Tamandua tetradactyla: one gene and its partner. The protein of the gene in region 1 interacts with the protein of each later gene in a pairwise test. Links are inferred from orthologs where the notes say so. Each region holds a gene or a part of one and is shown in the gene's direction. Other genes may lie near its edges.

What was found.
Region 2: the proteins of AGTRAP (region 1) and SENP2 interact in binary tests that used the Homo sapiens proteins (3 or more experiments, as listed by UniProt). The two-hybrid records come from large-scale screens. The link is inferred for Tamandua tetradactyla from reciprocal best matches to the Homo sapiens genes AGTRAP and SENP2.

Annotation. Positions count from the first base shown.
Region 1 is NC_135328.1:213,743,432-213,750,812, reverse strand, and holds the start of AGTRAP (type-1 angiotensin II receptor-associated protein), read left to right. Parts: upstream 1-4,381; 5' UTR 4,382-4,505; coding exon 4,506-4,532; intron 4,533-7,381. UniProt on the Homo sapiens protein: Appears to be a negative regulator of type-1 angiotensin II receptor-mediated signaling by regulating receptor internalization as well as mechanism of receptor desensitization such as phosphorylation.
Region 2 is NC_135336.1:4,250,389-4,258,275, forward strand, and holds the start of SENP2 (sentrin-specific protease 2), read left to right. Parts: upstream 1-4,883; 5' UTR 4,884-5,054; coding exon 5,055-5,155; intron 5,156-5,950; exon of another isoform or gene 5,951-6,116; intron 6,117-7,117; coding exon 7,118-7,173; intron 7,174-7,887. UniProt on the Homo sapiens protein: Protease that catalyzes two essential functions in the SUMO pathway.

The DNA of each region.
Region 1 (7,381 bases):
TGAGGTCTGGGAGCCCAAGAGAGCCTCTGAGCTGCCTCAACTGTGACCCTACAAGGTTCCATTGGGTTCCTTCTCCTGCCCCCATCTCACTGCAGCTGACCCTCCAGAGAGGAGAGAGAGGGTTATGGGCACAGATCCAAAAAGTAACACTGGTGGTCCAAACGTCCAGGCCATCCTCAACTCTGCCAGGCCTTTGGCCAAAACACATAGAGCTGGCAAGTTTGTGATGGTTGAAAGGAAACACTGGAGAAAAGTCTTCTAGAAAGAATTCCAGCCGCAATCCTGGAGCCACCAAGGGGCCTTCCCGGGCCCTTCTCCAGTATGCTGTTGGCGAGTGGCTGTGCCTCCGCGCAGGTGTGTGTGCATCTCCAACAGCATTTGGGTTGTTGTCTCTGCTCCATGTCCTTCAGTTTGATGTACCTGCTTGGGATGCAAAGCGGGTGGGGACCCACGTCAGAACTGCTGGGGCCACCGCAGCACGTCCACATTCTAACTCCTGGAACCTGTGAACATGACTGTCTCTGGAAAAAGGATCTTTGCAGATGTAATTAAGTCAGGGATCTCAAAATGAGGTCATCCTGGGCTTAGGGGGCCCTAAATCCAATGGCAACGTCCTTACAGAAGAAAGAAAGAAGAATTGAGACACAGAGAGGGGCGTGCGATGGTGGAGGCAGAGATAGGAACGATGCAGCCACAAGCCAAGGAATGCCAGCAGCTACCAGAAGCTGGGGAGGGGGAGGCTGGTGGAAGACAGGAAGGATTCTCCCCTAAAGCCTCTGGAAGCAGCCCGGCCCTGCCCACCCTACACCTTGACTTCGAACTTCTGGTCTCTGGAACTGTAAGAGAAGAAACTTCTGTTGTTATAAGTCACCCAGTTTCTAGTTATTCATCATGACAGCTTCAGGAAACTAATACAGGCATCTTCCTTCCCCTTTTCAGTCCCACCTTTCCCTGACCCTTCGATTCAACAGGCAGTTACCCCCAGGCCCGCCCCCACAATACCTGCCTATGACAGTGATACATGAGGGATGCAGAAAGCCACTGCGGGGTACATACAGCAGCTGGTCAGCACTGCTTGCTGAGCACTCGGAGAGCCGAGCTAGGTTGGCTAAGCAAATGATCATATGTGACCCTGCCTATTCTAGTTTGCTAGCTGCTGGAATGCAATATACCAGAAACAAAGGCTTTTAAAAAGGGGAATTTAATAAATTGCAGGTTAACATTTTTTAGGCCACAGAAAGATCCCAATTAAAGCAAGTCTATAGAAATGTCCAATCTAAGACATCCAGAGAAAGATACCTTGATTCAAGCAGGCTGATGAAGTTCAGGGTTTCTCTGTCAAGTGGAAAGGCACATGGCACACACGGCGTTATCTGCTAGCTTCCTCTCCAGCTCCCCGGGAGGCGTTTTCCCTCTTCATCTCCCAAATTTGCTGGCTGGTGGACTCTCTACTTTGTGGGTCTGTGGTGTTCTGTTGTCCTTCCCTGCTCTCTCTGAATCTCTCTTTTACAGGATTCCAGTAAAGTAATCAAGACCCACCTAGAATGGGTGGAGACGCATCTCCACCTAATCCAGTTTAACAACCACTCTTGACTGAGTCACATCTCCAGAGAGATAATCTAATTAAATTTTCAAACATACAGTACTGAATAGGGACTAGAAGAAACGGTTGCCTTTACAAAATGGGATTAGGATTAAAACATGGTTTTTTCTAGGGTAAAATGTATATACATCCTTTCAAACCAGCACACCTCCCCAACTTAACCTGAGGCTCAGCCTTTGACAACTTGCCCCAGGTTACTGCTGGAAGCAGGCAAGACAGAGCTCCCCCAAATAGTTTATCTAAAGGACACACACACACACACACACACACACACACACACACAAAAACACAGGAAAGGAAAGGCTGTAGCTGCTTCAGCCACCTTTTGCTTAGCCAACTGTGTGGACCGAGCAGGAAGCCATGCAAGATAATTGGTGGTTCAACTGTGGTTTCTTTGTTTTCCTGAGCAGCTGCCGTATGCTGGGCACAGGGCTAAGTGCTGAGATCGAGGGTCCACCTGGAGCTTTAGAGTCTGGTTTGGAAGGACAGGCAATACATAAATACATTGATAGGGCAATAACTCCAGAGATTGATGAGTACTATGAAGAAAAGTAAACTGGGGGAGCACAACCACCTTGGAAAACAGTTTAGTAGTTTTTCAAAGAGTTAAATGCACACCTGCCATAAGATCCAGCCATTCTACCCCTGGGCATTTACCCAAGTAGATATACAATCACCATTTGCTAAATGAATGGAAAAAAAGGGAGAGAGAGAATGAATGAACCTATTCTAGGTGTCAGATTCTTTGAGGGTACAAAGATAAACAGGTACTTTTTTATTTTCAGCTGAGCCAGACAGAATTAGTGAGGGATGTGGAAAACATAGACTTGAATTCCAAAAGTATATTGACTAAAAAATGCCCCCAAAGCCTTGCAGAATGTGCTTTGTGGGGGTCTGTTTGTCCTTCCATGGTCAGGAAGAGGTTGTGGCAGGGCCCCCGGCTCCTCTGAAAATGGACAGCTCCATTTTCCTTTGTGTCTCTGTGCCCACTCTCTCCTACTGCCCCCAGCCAGCTGGGTCTTGCTCCTGCCCCCTGCCACCCCCACCCCATGCCTCTGGCCCCAGCTGGCCCGAATGAATGCAGCCTCAGTGTGCGAGCTGCAGAGTGTCCCCACAGACCTGGCCCTATGCCTCATCAGCGCCTGTCTTCCCTCCTTTCCTAGCTCAGCCCAGGGGCGTATTTCCCTGCGATGCAACCAGTGTAGCTCGATGGTTAAACGTGCTGGCTCTAGGACCAGACCCCTGGGTTCTCAAGCCGGTTTCAGTGATGTGACTTCGGGCAAGCCACTTAAAAGTCTCTTAATGTCACTGTAAAGAAGGTAAGGACAGAATCTACACCATAGGGTTGTTGTGAGCATGTATTTTACAGTGCCACAGAATAACTATCTAGGAGGAAATACTTAACTTCCCCATGTGGGGAATTTCTGATAGTCTCGCAAGCAGTGGGGACAACCAAATCAACAGGATTAGCCCTCGATCTTGGGGTTCGCCCCTATGAAACTTATTCCTGCAAAGGATAGGCTAAGCCTACTTAAAATTATGCTTGAGTCACCTGCAGAGAACCTCTTTTGTCACTCACATGTGGCCTCTCTCTCTCTACGCCAACTTGGCAGGTGAATTCACTGCCCTCCCCCCTACGTGGGACACTACAATGGTTGTATCAACTATAGACTTCAGTTTGCAGTAATTGTATTTTTTCTTATATACCACCCCATTATTAACACCTTGTAATAAGGACACATTTGTTCTAGTTCATAAAAAATAAACCTTTCTCATATTTTTACAATTAACCATTGTCATCGTCCACTCTAAATTTCATTAAGTTATAGTGCCTGTTTTCATCCTCTAGGTTTCCTTTTGGTGACACAGATGACCCTAGCCTTCCTCTTTCAACCATAATCACACTCAGCTTTGTTAATCACACAATACTGTGCTACCTTCACACAGTATTGTGCTATCCATTTCCGAACCTTTACAATCAACTTCGTTAAACATTCTGTATCCTTAAGCAGTCTCTACCCACTTCCTATCTCCTGATAACCTATGCTCTCAAATCACTCTCACAGTTTGCTCGTTATAGTTAATTCCTATTTGTGAGACCATACAGTATTTGTCCTTTTGTTTCCCTCGACACAATGTCCTCAAGGCTCATCCATATTATTGCATATAGCATAACTTCATTCCTTCTTACAGTTACATAGTATTCCACCATCAGTATATACCACACTTTGTTTATTCACTCGTCAGCTGATGGGCTGTTTCCGTCTATTGGCAGTGGTGACTCTTCCTTTCTTCACTTGCTTTCTGCATGCTTGAGGTGCAGACAGTGTTTCATAGGATCTCTTTCTCCTCAACTCTTCTTCTTCTTGCTGGGTTTCCAGTTAGATTTTTCTAAAACTTTTGGTAGGCTCGTTGACTTAAGTGGGCTCCAGCAGTGGGCCCCTTGTGTGCTGATAACAAAAGCTTGTATACGGCCCTTACCTTATTAACTCATTTATCTTTGCAAAAAACCTACGAGGTCGGTACTGTAAAGTCTCCACCTTGATGTGCTGAAGGGGCAGAGAGGTGACTTCGGGGATGAGACACCTGCAAGTTCCCCCGGGCCTCCTGGCTGCAAGTGGTCCCATCAGCCCAGGTGCCACCACCTGCTGCATACTCGTCAGTTTCCCGGGGCGGAGGCCGGAGCCAGAGGCGTGGAGATGGGCACGCGAAGCCCGACGCCGTCTCCTGGCAACCGGGCCTCAGTCACGTGGCCCGCTCGCGCCGCCCCACGTGGCCCGGGCGCCGAGTTGGGGTTGGAGCCGCCACCGCGGGCCGGGCGGGGCCGGCAAGTTCGTTTCTCGAGTTCCGAGCCCGACAGCTCCCGGCGGCGGCCGCGCAGGTGTCCTCGGCGGCGGGCGGGATGGAGCTGCCGGCCGTGAACCTGAAGGTGGCGATGGGCGCGGCGGGCGGGGTGGCGGCGGCGGGCGAGGGCGGGTCCGTGGGCGTTTGGGGCGTCTGCCGGGGCCGAGGAGCGCAGACGTGAGAGGACGAGCGTCTGGGAGAGAGGCGGGGAGAACGGGCAAGTTCCGACCCCAGGTGAGCCAGGGGTGGCCAGACAGACCCTCGCAGGGGGAAGGGGCCACGGAAAGGTCAGCAGGGCAGACCGAGAAGGGGAGCTGGAGGCCGGTGGGGAGGAAAAAGGTCGCCCCTTTCCGAGTCAGCCCGCTCTGTGGGGACTGCTGAGGCCTGCGCGCCCCGCATTCCCTCGAGGCGGAGGATGGCCTGGGGGCGGGGCAGGGGCGGGGCCAGGAGCCGGGGGCGGGGCCACGAGGAGGACACCTCCCCCCCGCCGGGGAGAGGGACGAGAGGGGCGAGACCTCTCACGTGAAGGCTTTGGGGTGGGCTGCTTGGCTCCGCCTTTGTTTACTGAATCAGGCAATGGAAAGCAGATGTTTCCAGACCAGCGGCTTCCCAGCTTTCTTATTTCGTAATTAAGAAACACGGCCGCCCATAAAAATTACTTAAAAGCAGAAAGCCCCAGTTAGTGCAGTTGGGAAAATGCGGTGGCGCTTCCTGGGGTGTCCCCACTTCCTGTGCCGCGTCCTCCGCTCGATCACGTTGGTCAGCGGAGGTTCTTCTTTTTCTCTCCGACCCGCGTCTTGGCCGTTTCTGACCCAGGGGCTGTTAACTTTGGACTGGAAGGGGTGCCCCTTGGGCCAAACCTGTCCGTCTTAGGTCTTGGCGCAGCCTCCTTTGAGACCGTATCCATGCTCTCCTTTAACTCGCGAGTGACGATACGTATTTAGCACCCCCTGTCTCAGACTAAAGACTAAAGGAACCCAAAGGACGAATGTTCCAGAACGACACGTAATCCATGTTGGATGATTAGGCATGGCCTGTGCTGTGGTTTCACCGGGCAGATTTCCCTTCTTAATCATACTTGCTTCTGCAAGTTCCCTTGAGGCTTCCAGTCATCGGCTGGGGCTAGGGAAGGGGGCTAGGTTTAATCTTTAATTGGGAGATTTCTTGGGGTCAGTACCCACTTTGTTCCTGTGATGTGGAGTTAGTGCAGAAGTTATATGCCTGCCTGTATTCAAAATTTTGTCCATTAGAGCTTTGCATAGAAAAAGTGATGAGAGAGAACCAGGCCAGGGACAGAGCTGCAGGAATGGAGAAGACAGGAGAACTGTCATTTATGGTCTGTCTGTGGTGTGCCAGCATAACTGGCATTGTCATCTTTTTACAGATGAGCAAAGTAGTTAAGAGAGGATAAGTAACTTGCCAAGGGCACACAGAGATTAAATGTTGGATTCGAACCCACAGTGTCAGACTCCAAAGCCATGTCTTTTCCTGGGTGTCAGGCTAGTTAGGCTGACTTTCTGCCCTGGCTATTTCTGTCCATCAGAGCAGGGGTTGGGGCTTATTCCATTTGAACCTTTTTAAAGCAATTTTATGTACCTGGTACTTCAGGTCCTGCAACAGGTGTGAGCTGTGCTGATTTCTGATGTCCAGAATGAAAAGGCTGGCCCTTTTCCCAGGCTCCTAGTAGCTACCAGTCAGAAACATTAAGAGTTGGGCGGTCCTGAGGGGCTAGCGTTGCCAGATAAAATACAGGCCATCCAGTTGAATTTAAATTTCTGATCAATAAGGATAAATTTTTAGTATAGGCATGGCCCATGTGAAATACTGTTTTTTGAAATTCAAATTGCACTGATGTTTTGTGTGTTTCTTTGCTAAATCTGGCAAGCCAGTGGTGGAAAGCTGTTGATGCTGTGCTCCCAGGCACCTAAGTGGGACGTTCTGAAGTCAGAGCCTGTCAGAAGCTGGGGCAGTGCTGGCTCATGTTGTTTGAGTGTCTCCTTGTGCCCAGCTAAGTGATAGATGCTGCTCTTTGCTCGCCATAGTGGGCAGTGGTGCCAGGTGAGAAGGAGCCACCCCATGCCCTTTACTCCCAGAGCAGTCTCTCCCTGAGCCCCATCCTTCCCTGTCTTGAAGCAAGTCCTGAGCAGGAGGAACGACGCTACGAGAAGCTTAGAAAGGACTAGACTCAGATTCATGAAGTCTAAGGGAAGAAGCCCCTGATGGTCTGGAAGCTGATCTCCTAAGAGTACCACTGGCTACCAGGTACCAGGGCTGAGCACCTGGCAGGTATTGTGTCGAGTGCTTCAATCTCCTTGTACCCCTAGATCCACAAAACAACCCTAGGAAACAGGTGTTATTACCCCTACTTTACAGAAGAACAAGTGGCCTCTGAGAGGCCAAGGGTCTGGGTCACACAGCTTCTAAGTCACGGAGCCAGGATTCAAATGCACATATTTGAATCCAGTGCCCACGCAGATGACCATTCCATGACCCTCTGTGGCACACCTGACTAGTGCTCCTAGCCTCAGCCATCTTCAGGTGTCTCGCTGTCTCACCTAACAGGTTGCTGAGTCTTTGAACAGGGCTGTTAGAAATATGTTCCTTCTGTTGATCTTAGATCTGTTTGCTGCTCATCTAGGACCCCACTCTCTATCCACCCCCCCCCCCCCCCATAGCAGACAAAGAGTTTAAGTCCTGCTCTACTTGATCCTTTGGTTTCTCCTTAACGTTCTCTTCTCCAGGCTAACCCACTTCATTTCCATCTGCCCTTCTTCATGTGACCCTTTCCTTGCTCCTCCAGTTCCTAACAGTGGAGCACGTTGAATAGAGCACAGGCCTTGGAGCCAGATAAACCTGCACTGAGGCCAGGCTTTGCTACTTATTAGCTCTGTGACCTTGAGCAGATTTCTTAACCTCTCTGAGCTTTGGTTTCCT
Region 2 (7,887 bases), on another chromosome or scaffold:
CAGCAAGGTCTGCATGCAGGTTGGCAATACAGAGGTAAAATACTTTTTCTTATTAAAATTCTAAAGAAAAAGAATAAATAAAAATTGGGGGAAATGTTTCATTTTAAAAGAATGTGCATCAGTACCATATATTTTAGATTTATTTGGATGTTAAAGTGCAATTCTAAAATATTGTCATCGAAGCCAGATTTCTCTTTTTTTGTTTTTAACTAGCTGGCTTCCCAAGCTTTGGGCATGAGAATCCTCAATCTTCATTGGAGTAATTATTCCCTGGAGCATGCACACAGAGTTGTCCTTCTGAGAAGCAACTCTATCGAAAAACCAACACCTGCAGTATGGAAGATCTATTCTTGTGCCTCTGACTTGGGGCTCTCATTTTGGGTCCACCCCATTTCTCAACTCTTGGTATCCCTGGCTCCTTCGGTTACATCTCAGTTTCAGCTACTTCTAGAGATGCAGGGATTGCTCTTTCCTTTTGATGTTCTCCCTAGGACCAACCATACTAAAGTTTCAGGTTGTCAAATGGCCTATATGTTAAGTCAGACCACCCTGAAAAAAACCTTCTGAATTTGGTGAAAACCAACCCAACCATTTCAGTGATTTATCAACAGAAAGACAGGAACCTGATTTTATTCATACGGATTAATATTAGAGTGGGAAAGGGTGGCCAGTAAGTCGGTGGCTCTTGCAGGATGTGAGAAATGACCAAGGCCTTATGACGGCTGAGAGCAATTTGGAGAAAAGAAGCAGATCTGTGAACATGTTAGGATGTAGAACTGATAAGTTAAATGACTTATTACATGTGAGAAGGAAAGAGAGAGAAGAGAAACATTAAGCATTAATTCAACCCAAAGATCTGAGAGGCAGATTTTATTAACCTCCTTCTACAGATTAGGAAATCAGTTAAGGTAGGACTTGGTGCTATTTCTGCACATGAGATAGGCTGAACAATTTGCTGTAAATACAGTCAAGTATTGTGAGAAAATCCAGGACAAGAAAAGAGTGCATGAGGTTTTAGCATAATAAGGCCATGGTTATTATTAGACAGCTTGAATAAGATCAAGGGCACATTATTAGGAGTACACATTTTTCTTGAATACCAGAGGAGTTGGTCCCCAGAAGGAAATTAATCTTGAAGGTGATGAATTATGTTAAGTTTGGGGCACTTTGGACTCCAAACAGCAATATCTCATCCTGGGGCTCTTACCCCATGAAATAGTCCAGAACTCCATTCTGATAGGGGGGTCACCAAAAGCAAAATTGAGGAGAAATCTTTTAACATTCAGTGGATTCTCCAGGAGAGAAAACGTGCAAGACTGAAGAATGGGTTGGTGGGCTGGGTCTTCAGTGTTCTTTGAAGGGGAGGTAGATTTTAAGGAAAATGGGGGTGGAGCCCTGAAGGACAGAAGGAGAGGCTCTTAGCAGGAAGGGGACAAGGATCCTTAAGGAAAACTGGAGCTTCTGCGTGGGAGACCCTGTTAAGGCTTAAACAATTAGGGCTCACATTAACCAAATCAAGGGCAGAAATCTCAGTGTCTTTGTCACTCCATATGGCCTTGGTAAGGCAGGTTAGTTAGGGAACTGCGGGGGGGGGGGGGAAGTCACCCCAAAATCAAACTTCCTTTTGATGCACACACACCTAGGTTCACCCCAACCCCCAAACCCGCCCCCTCACACCTAGCCCTCACTGAGGTTGGCACCTGAAAAGAACCAATGAAAAATGCAGCTCTTCAATCCATTATTAGCATAGCCACGGGGGGGGAAGGGCCCCTCCAAGTCCTTACAATACTGGGATCCTGTGCTGGTTTGAATTTGTAGACCCCAGAAAAGCCATGTCCTTTAATCCTCATTCAGTATTGATGGATGAGAGTTTTTTAATTAACCATGGAGATGTGACCCACCCAATTGTGGGTGGTAACTTCTGATTAGATGATTTCCATGAAAAAGTGTCTCCGCCTATTCAAGGTGGGGTTGCTTACTGGAACCCTTTGAGAGGGAACCATTTTGGAAAGAGCCATGGAGCAGAGTCCATTCCGCCCGAGACCTTTAGAGATGAAAAAGGAATATGTCCCCAGGGGAGCTTCAGGAAAAAAGAAGCCTGGAGAGACAGCTAGCAGACATTGCTATGTGCCTTTTCAGTTGAGAGATAAACCCTGAACATCATTGGCCTTTCTTGAGTGAACATAAGCTCTTGTTGGTGCCATATTTTGGACATTTTTATACACTTGCTTTAACTGAGATATTTTCATGGCCTTAGAACTGTAACTTTGCAATTCAATAAATTTCCCCCTTTTAAAGCCGTTCCATTTCTGGCATATTGCATTCCGGCAGCTTGCAAACTAGAACAGATCCTGACCTCAGAGGGCTTTTCCTCCTTAGGAGAACGCCAGTGCTCATCTTCCTTTGAGTGTGTACTTTCACTACACATTAGGGTTTTGAGCTGTACACACTAGCTAGTCTTTGGATTCTTTGGCCGTACACACTGACTAGTCCTCAAATTCTTTCCTGTGACTGAGACAATGAACCTTCACAGCATCAGCCCCTGGTGGAGAGATCTTAACTTCTCCGAGAATTCCTGGGGCTCTCCTGCATCAAGCTTATTAAACTATTTGGCCATACACACACCGACTAGTCCTTGAGTTCTTTCCTAAGATTGAGTTAAGAAAACTCACAGCACTAGCCCTTCGTCTCAATTTCTCTGAGAACTTGTGGGGCTGTCTCACATCACCAGGCTTCTCCCTTGGCCCTCCAAAGAAGAGTTCCTGGGTACAGCAGTGGTGGGGAGGCCGCTAAAGGTGACCCTATTCCAGGGCCATTGGATGGGCAGTGTCACCAACTGGCAGTCAAGTCCCAGGTGGAAGCAACTGTAAGGCTGAGCCCCCTTCTAGAGGCACTGTGAACACTGGAGGAGTCCATGAGTGGAGCTTGGGGATGGGGGGTGGGGGACTTCCATCCTTATTGTGTGAGTTATAGTTGGTGAGGTCTTAGGAGCCTGACAAGTTCACAATTCTACAGCACTGGTTCTTTCCATGGTATGTGACTAATGTGTCAGTACTGGGTATGTATGGGTGCTATTTATGAGGCAGGAAAGGCAAACAAATAGTTTTGGTGTTATAATGAACTGCTCCGACACTTGAACCCAGTATTTCTGAAATTTCTGTGCCTAGAACCTGAGATAAGCTGCTATTGTAAAGCTACTTGTAATTTTCCAATTCATGTTTGGAAACAAGACTGCTCTTTTGTTTTAGAGAATCTCTTAACACTTGAGTACATTTCTTCATTTGGCAAGAGTAAAGACCAACTCTTCTAGTGCAATGGTGGACTGAGACATTAATAATACTGAACTCTCATAATAATGTCAACAGTTCTCTTTCAAGAGGAATTCCAATTCATTTTACATATTATATAATATTATAAATTCATTTTTAATTTATTGGGTTTAGCCTGAAATGGGACAGGTAGGGGTGGGTGGAGTGGAAACTCTCTTCTGTTGAGAAGAGTGGAGAGAGGGTCTTGGGAGTGGGGGGATTTCCTTTGAGAAACAATGGGCAAGAGGCCATAGATGCTGTATATCTAATAGTCACTTCAAAGTCTTCTCTGCCTTCTAGTTTTCCTGTTATTCACAATCTTTCAGTAACATCCTGGTGATAGCTACGATTTGGGGAATCAAGGGAGGGGTGTGTGTCCACACTTGGGTCTTGCTTCCACCGTGTAGGAATTGCCTGCAAACCCCAGGCCAGGGCAGTGGGAGCACAGGTGAGAGGCTGGTGGTTCTGGAGCTCTAGGGGGTGGTTTACATCAGACTTTGGGAACAGTCATTAGGGGGAGAAGGAGGCTGTGCTGCAGAGTGCCTGTGTCAGGTGAACCTTGAGCGTGTATGGAAGTCTAGCCTTAACGGAATCAGATGCTGAGAAACAAGTGCAATCAGGGGTGGATTTGTGGGAGATAAAAACCTTTGTGGAGTCCCAGAATTTTGGGGGGAAGAAGACTGAATCCTGAGATGCTGGATTTTCTATCATCAGGTAGGATGAGGACTTGCTCTATTGTTGTCTAGAAGTGTGACAGAGGTTACAGAGGGAGGGTAATGTGATGGGATCCCTGTTGCCCCAGAGAGGAGGTTTCTTTTCATCCTTACAGTTCTTTGAAGCTTTTCTTGAGAAGATCTGCTCTGGTCCTCCCTCCCTGAGCATGTAGGTTTCCTCTGGCTCCCACTGCACTTTGTAGACCCCTTTATCATGGAGGTCAACTATCCTGAACTGTATAATATATAATGATATTATATAGAGAATATATATTGCACAATCACATAATTGTAATTATCTGTGTGCATGTCTCTTCCAGGAAAAGGACCCCAGTTCAAATTCCAGCTCTGCCACTAGCTAGCTCTGTGGTCTCAGGCAAAATACTCAATTCCTCAGTACCCTTATTTATAAACTGGGCATAAGACTTGCCATTCCACGCGGTTGCTAAGAGAAATGAAGGTAACAATGCATGTAAATTTCCCGCGCACACAGTATACAAAATAAAGAGCGCCTCGCACGGTGAAAAGCTCTCCATTAGCCTGGCCTTTTATTCTACACACTCAAATACTTACTGGTCACCTATAGCTCCAGGCCTCCGCGCCACTCCGCGGCGCAGCAGAAACTCTCATTGCGGCCTGTGTGCCTCGTCCCGCAGGTCTGCTCAGGACTGGCCCGGCTGAGGAGAAAGCCCGGCCCATCGCCCATCAGACCTCATTAACTACTGGGCCTGGATTGGCCCGCACGCACTCTTGTTGCTAGGCTCGGGGGTGTGTGGTGCAAATTCGCGCGTGCGCACCCTGGGGACCAAGGCGCCTTTCCGGTCGGGCGGGAGGAGGTGACGTCAGGAGCCGTGGCGGGCGGGGCCCTCCTGTAGCCGTGGGGACGCTTTATCTGTGGGCCTTCGGATCGCGTCACAAGTTGGCGACTGCGCTGTGGCCGTGGTGGCCGAGGCGGCGAAGGCGGCAGCGGCGGCGACAGCTCTGGGGTTTGCGTCTCGGGGTGTGTCGGCCGCCGCTGCTGCTCAGGCCTGGTATGTACAAATGGCTGATTAGGATTCTCGGCACCATTTTTCGTTTTTGTGAGCGGCCGGTGCCCCCTGCCCGGGCCCTTCTGAAGAGGCGGCGCTCTAACAGGTGAGAGGGGAGGGCGCGGAGCGCTCACCCGGCCTAGCTGTGCCCCCCACCCCCTGCGTGCTGGATCACACCGGTCCTGCCGGGGTGGCCCTGCTCACCGGTTGCTCGGCTGGGGCCGATGATGTGGTCGCTGGGTCCGGGTGACGCAGCTGCTCCCTCCACCTTGTGGGGATGCAGCTCCAGTGAAGGAAGCAGCTAGGCAAAAACGTATCTTTGGAGTGACCGGAGGTGATAGGATGTATGATGTTCTTGTTAAGAGTCCAAGCTGGTTGCTCACGTTCAATGGGGCTTTGTCATATTTTGCCGCCCTTAGATGGAAAAGTAAAAATTTAAGGAATACGGTCTTTGTTGTGGCTCGCTATTTACAAAGCACTTTACCAAGTGTCAGCTTAGCAATAAGAGCAGTTAAGGGGAAGTCAGATTAGTAGCTTGCCCCCAAAGCTGTTTTGATTGCAAGCACTGTTCTTCTAGAACCTAGACAGCAGCTGTTTTGTTCTGAAACAGCTGCCAGTGTGTGTTTGGGGTATGGGGGGAGTGGTTCTGTGCTTTAAAGAATTAGTGTATGAGAAAAAGAAGTAGGTATGTCGTTCCTTTAAAAAGATCACTGTACTATAAACTTCAGTTAAAATTTAGTTAAAACTAAAAGCGGTTCTTATTTAGAATCTATCCCTTAAGTTTTGTTTTATGTTCTGGTGTCTGTTTCTTTACCTAAAAATTGATCTAGAGAATGAAATACTGTATAAATGCTATACCAGCTAGTGGTGTTCAGCTGCTAATTTCATTTCTTTTTTAAAGCCTCAGGATCAAGGAATGTGGAAAAAAGGGTAGTTTCTGGGAGCTGAGAGAAGATGATGATACACAAGTCTGATAATGCAGGTCATTGATGAAATTGGTTATTGGCTAAATTCCATCACAGGGCATTGTTTCAACCTACTCCTTTCTACCTTTCTGCAGAGTTGATGTGAGGATCATTTAAGATCATATTGTAAAGTGCCTAACACGGTGCTTAATGTATGTAAGGGTAATGTTTGTTTACCTCCAGGGCCTTGTGGAGTGTCTTGTGCATGGTAGGCACTTAATACATGTCTTTTCTTAATAAAGGAAAGTTAATGTGATCAGCTTTTCTCCTTTTTCACATGTGGATCCCTGCTAGTTAGGAGAACAGTGGTTTGGATATCAAAACCCTTTCTTTACAACACTTTCTTCACTTCCTTAATTTAAAACCGTATTTCTCAAATAAGACATTTTTCAGTCAAAATGAAATCATGTTGGGATTTGAAAGTTATGAACTGAATGTTGTCCTCCTAGAATCTCGTTCTGTTTATTTCTTTGTAAATAATAATCAGTAATAAGGATTCAGAATGATGATCAGTAGTACACCAGGAGTCTTTAACATTCTTGAAATATATGTCCAAAACTTTTCTGAATTCACATTTTTTTATAACTGCTGTAATACACTTTCCATGGTATAAATGCAGTTAAATATAACACCTTTTATGTCTAATAAGTATCTTTCAAGTTTGCTTATATTCATCACCAAACTTAGAAGATAGTTTTCTTTGGGGTCATCTTTCAAAAGGAAATTGTTTTTTGTTTTTTGTTTTGTTTTTTAATAATTTTGGAGAGAAAAAGGAAATACTAGTTCTAGGCACTTACCTAGGTTCATTTACTTGTGACTTAAATCCACTTTCACATTTGTACCTCAGCCAGATTACAGGTCTGTTATATGATAGGGAGTTTGGGATCTCTCTCAAACAAACTTCCATTGTGTTAAATCTTCAAGTGGTAAAAGCCTACTATAAAGTAACATTCTCTTTTAAAACCTCGGTTGAAGATCATTTTATGACAAAGTGAATGGAAAAGTGTCTGTTGTATGAATAGTAAGTTTACTTATAAAAATGGATGTTTATATATATACATATGTACGTATATATTTTTCTTCCTTTTTCTCTCTCCCCTCAGCACTCTGTTTTCCACAGTGGACACTGATGAAATACCAGCCAAAAGACCAAGATTAGGTATTGAATATTAATTTTAAAAATTATGTTTTTTTAATAGGAAAAATAAATGCATGGAACAAAATTTAAAAGGTAAAAGTATATTCAGTAAAAAGTGTTTCTTATTCTTTTCCTACTCAGATATCTTTTCTATATGTAACCACTTGTACCAGGGACTTGTGTATCTTTCCAAATAAATAAGCCTATGTGTTGAATGTTCCTTTTTTTTTAAATCTTGTGACTTATTTTCTTTTGAGCAATATAAAGGGTTTGGGTTTTTTTCTTTAAATTTTTTTTGTTATTAAATGTAACGTATATACAAAGAAAAGAAAGAAAAAGCAATGATTTTCCAAGTACACTTCAACAAGTAGATACAGAAAAGATTTCAGAGTTTGTTGTGAGTTACCGTTCCACTATTTCAGATTTTTCCTTCTCGCTGCTCCAGAACACTGGAGGCTAAAATAAATATAGTTTTTCTTTTTTGTGAAAAATAACATATGTACAAAACAATAAATTTCAAAGCACATTACAACAATTAGTTCTAGAACAGATGTCAGAGTTTGGAGTGGGTTACAATTTCACCATTTTAGGTTTTTGCTTCTAGCTGCTCTAAGATACTGGAGACTAAAAGAAATATTAATATAATGATTCAGCAATGATACTCACTTGTTAAACCCTACCTTTTCTCTATAACTCCACTATCACCTGTGATCTTTCTCCCACTCTTTAGAAGTG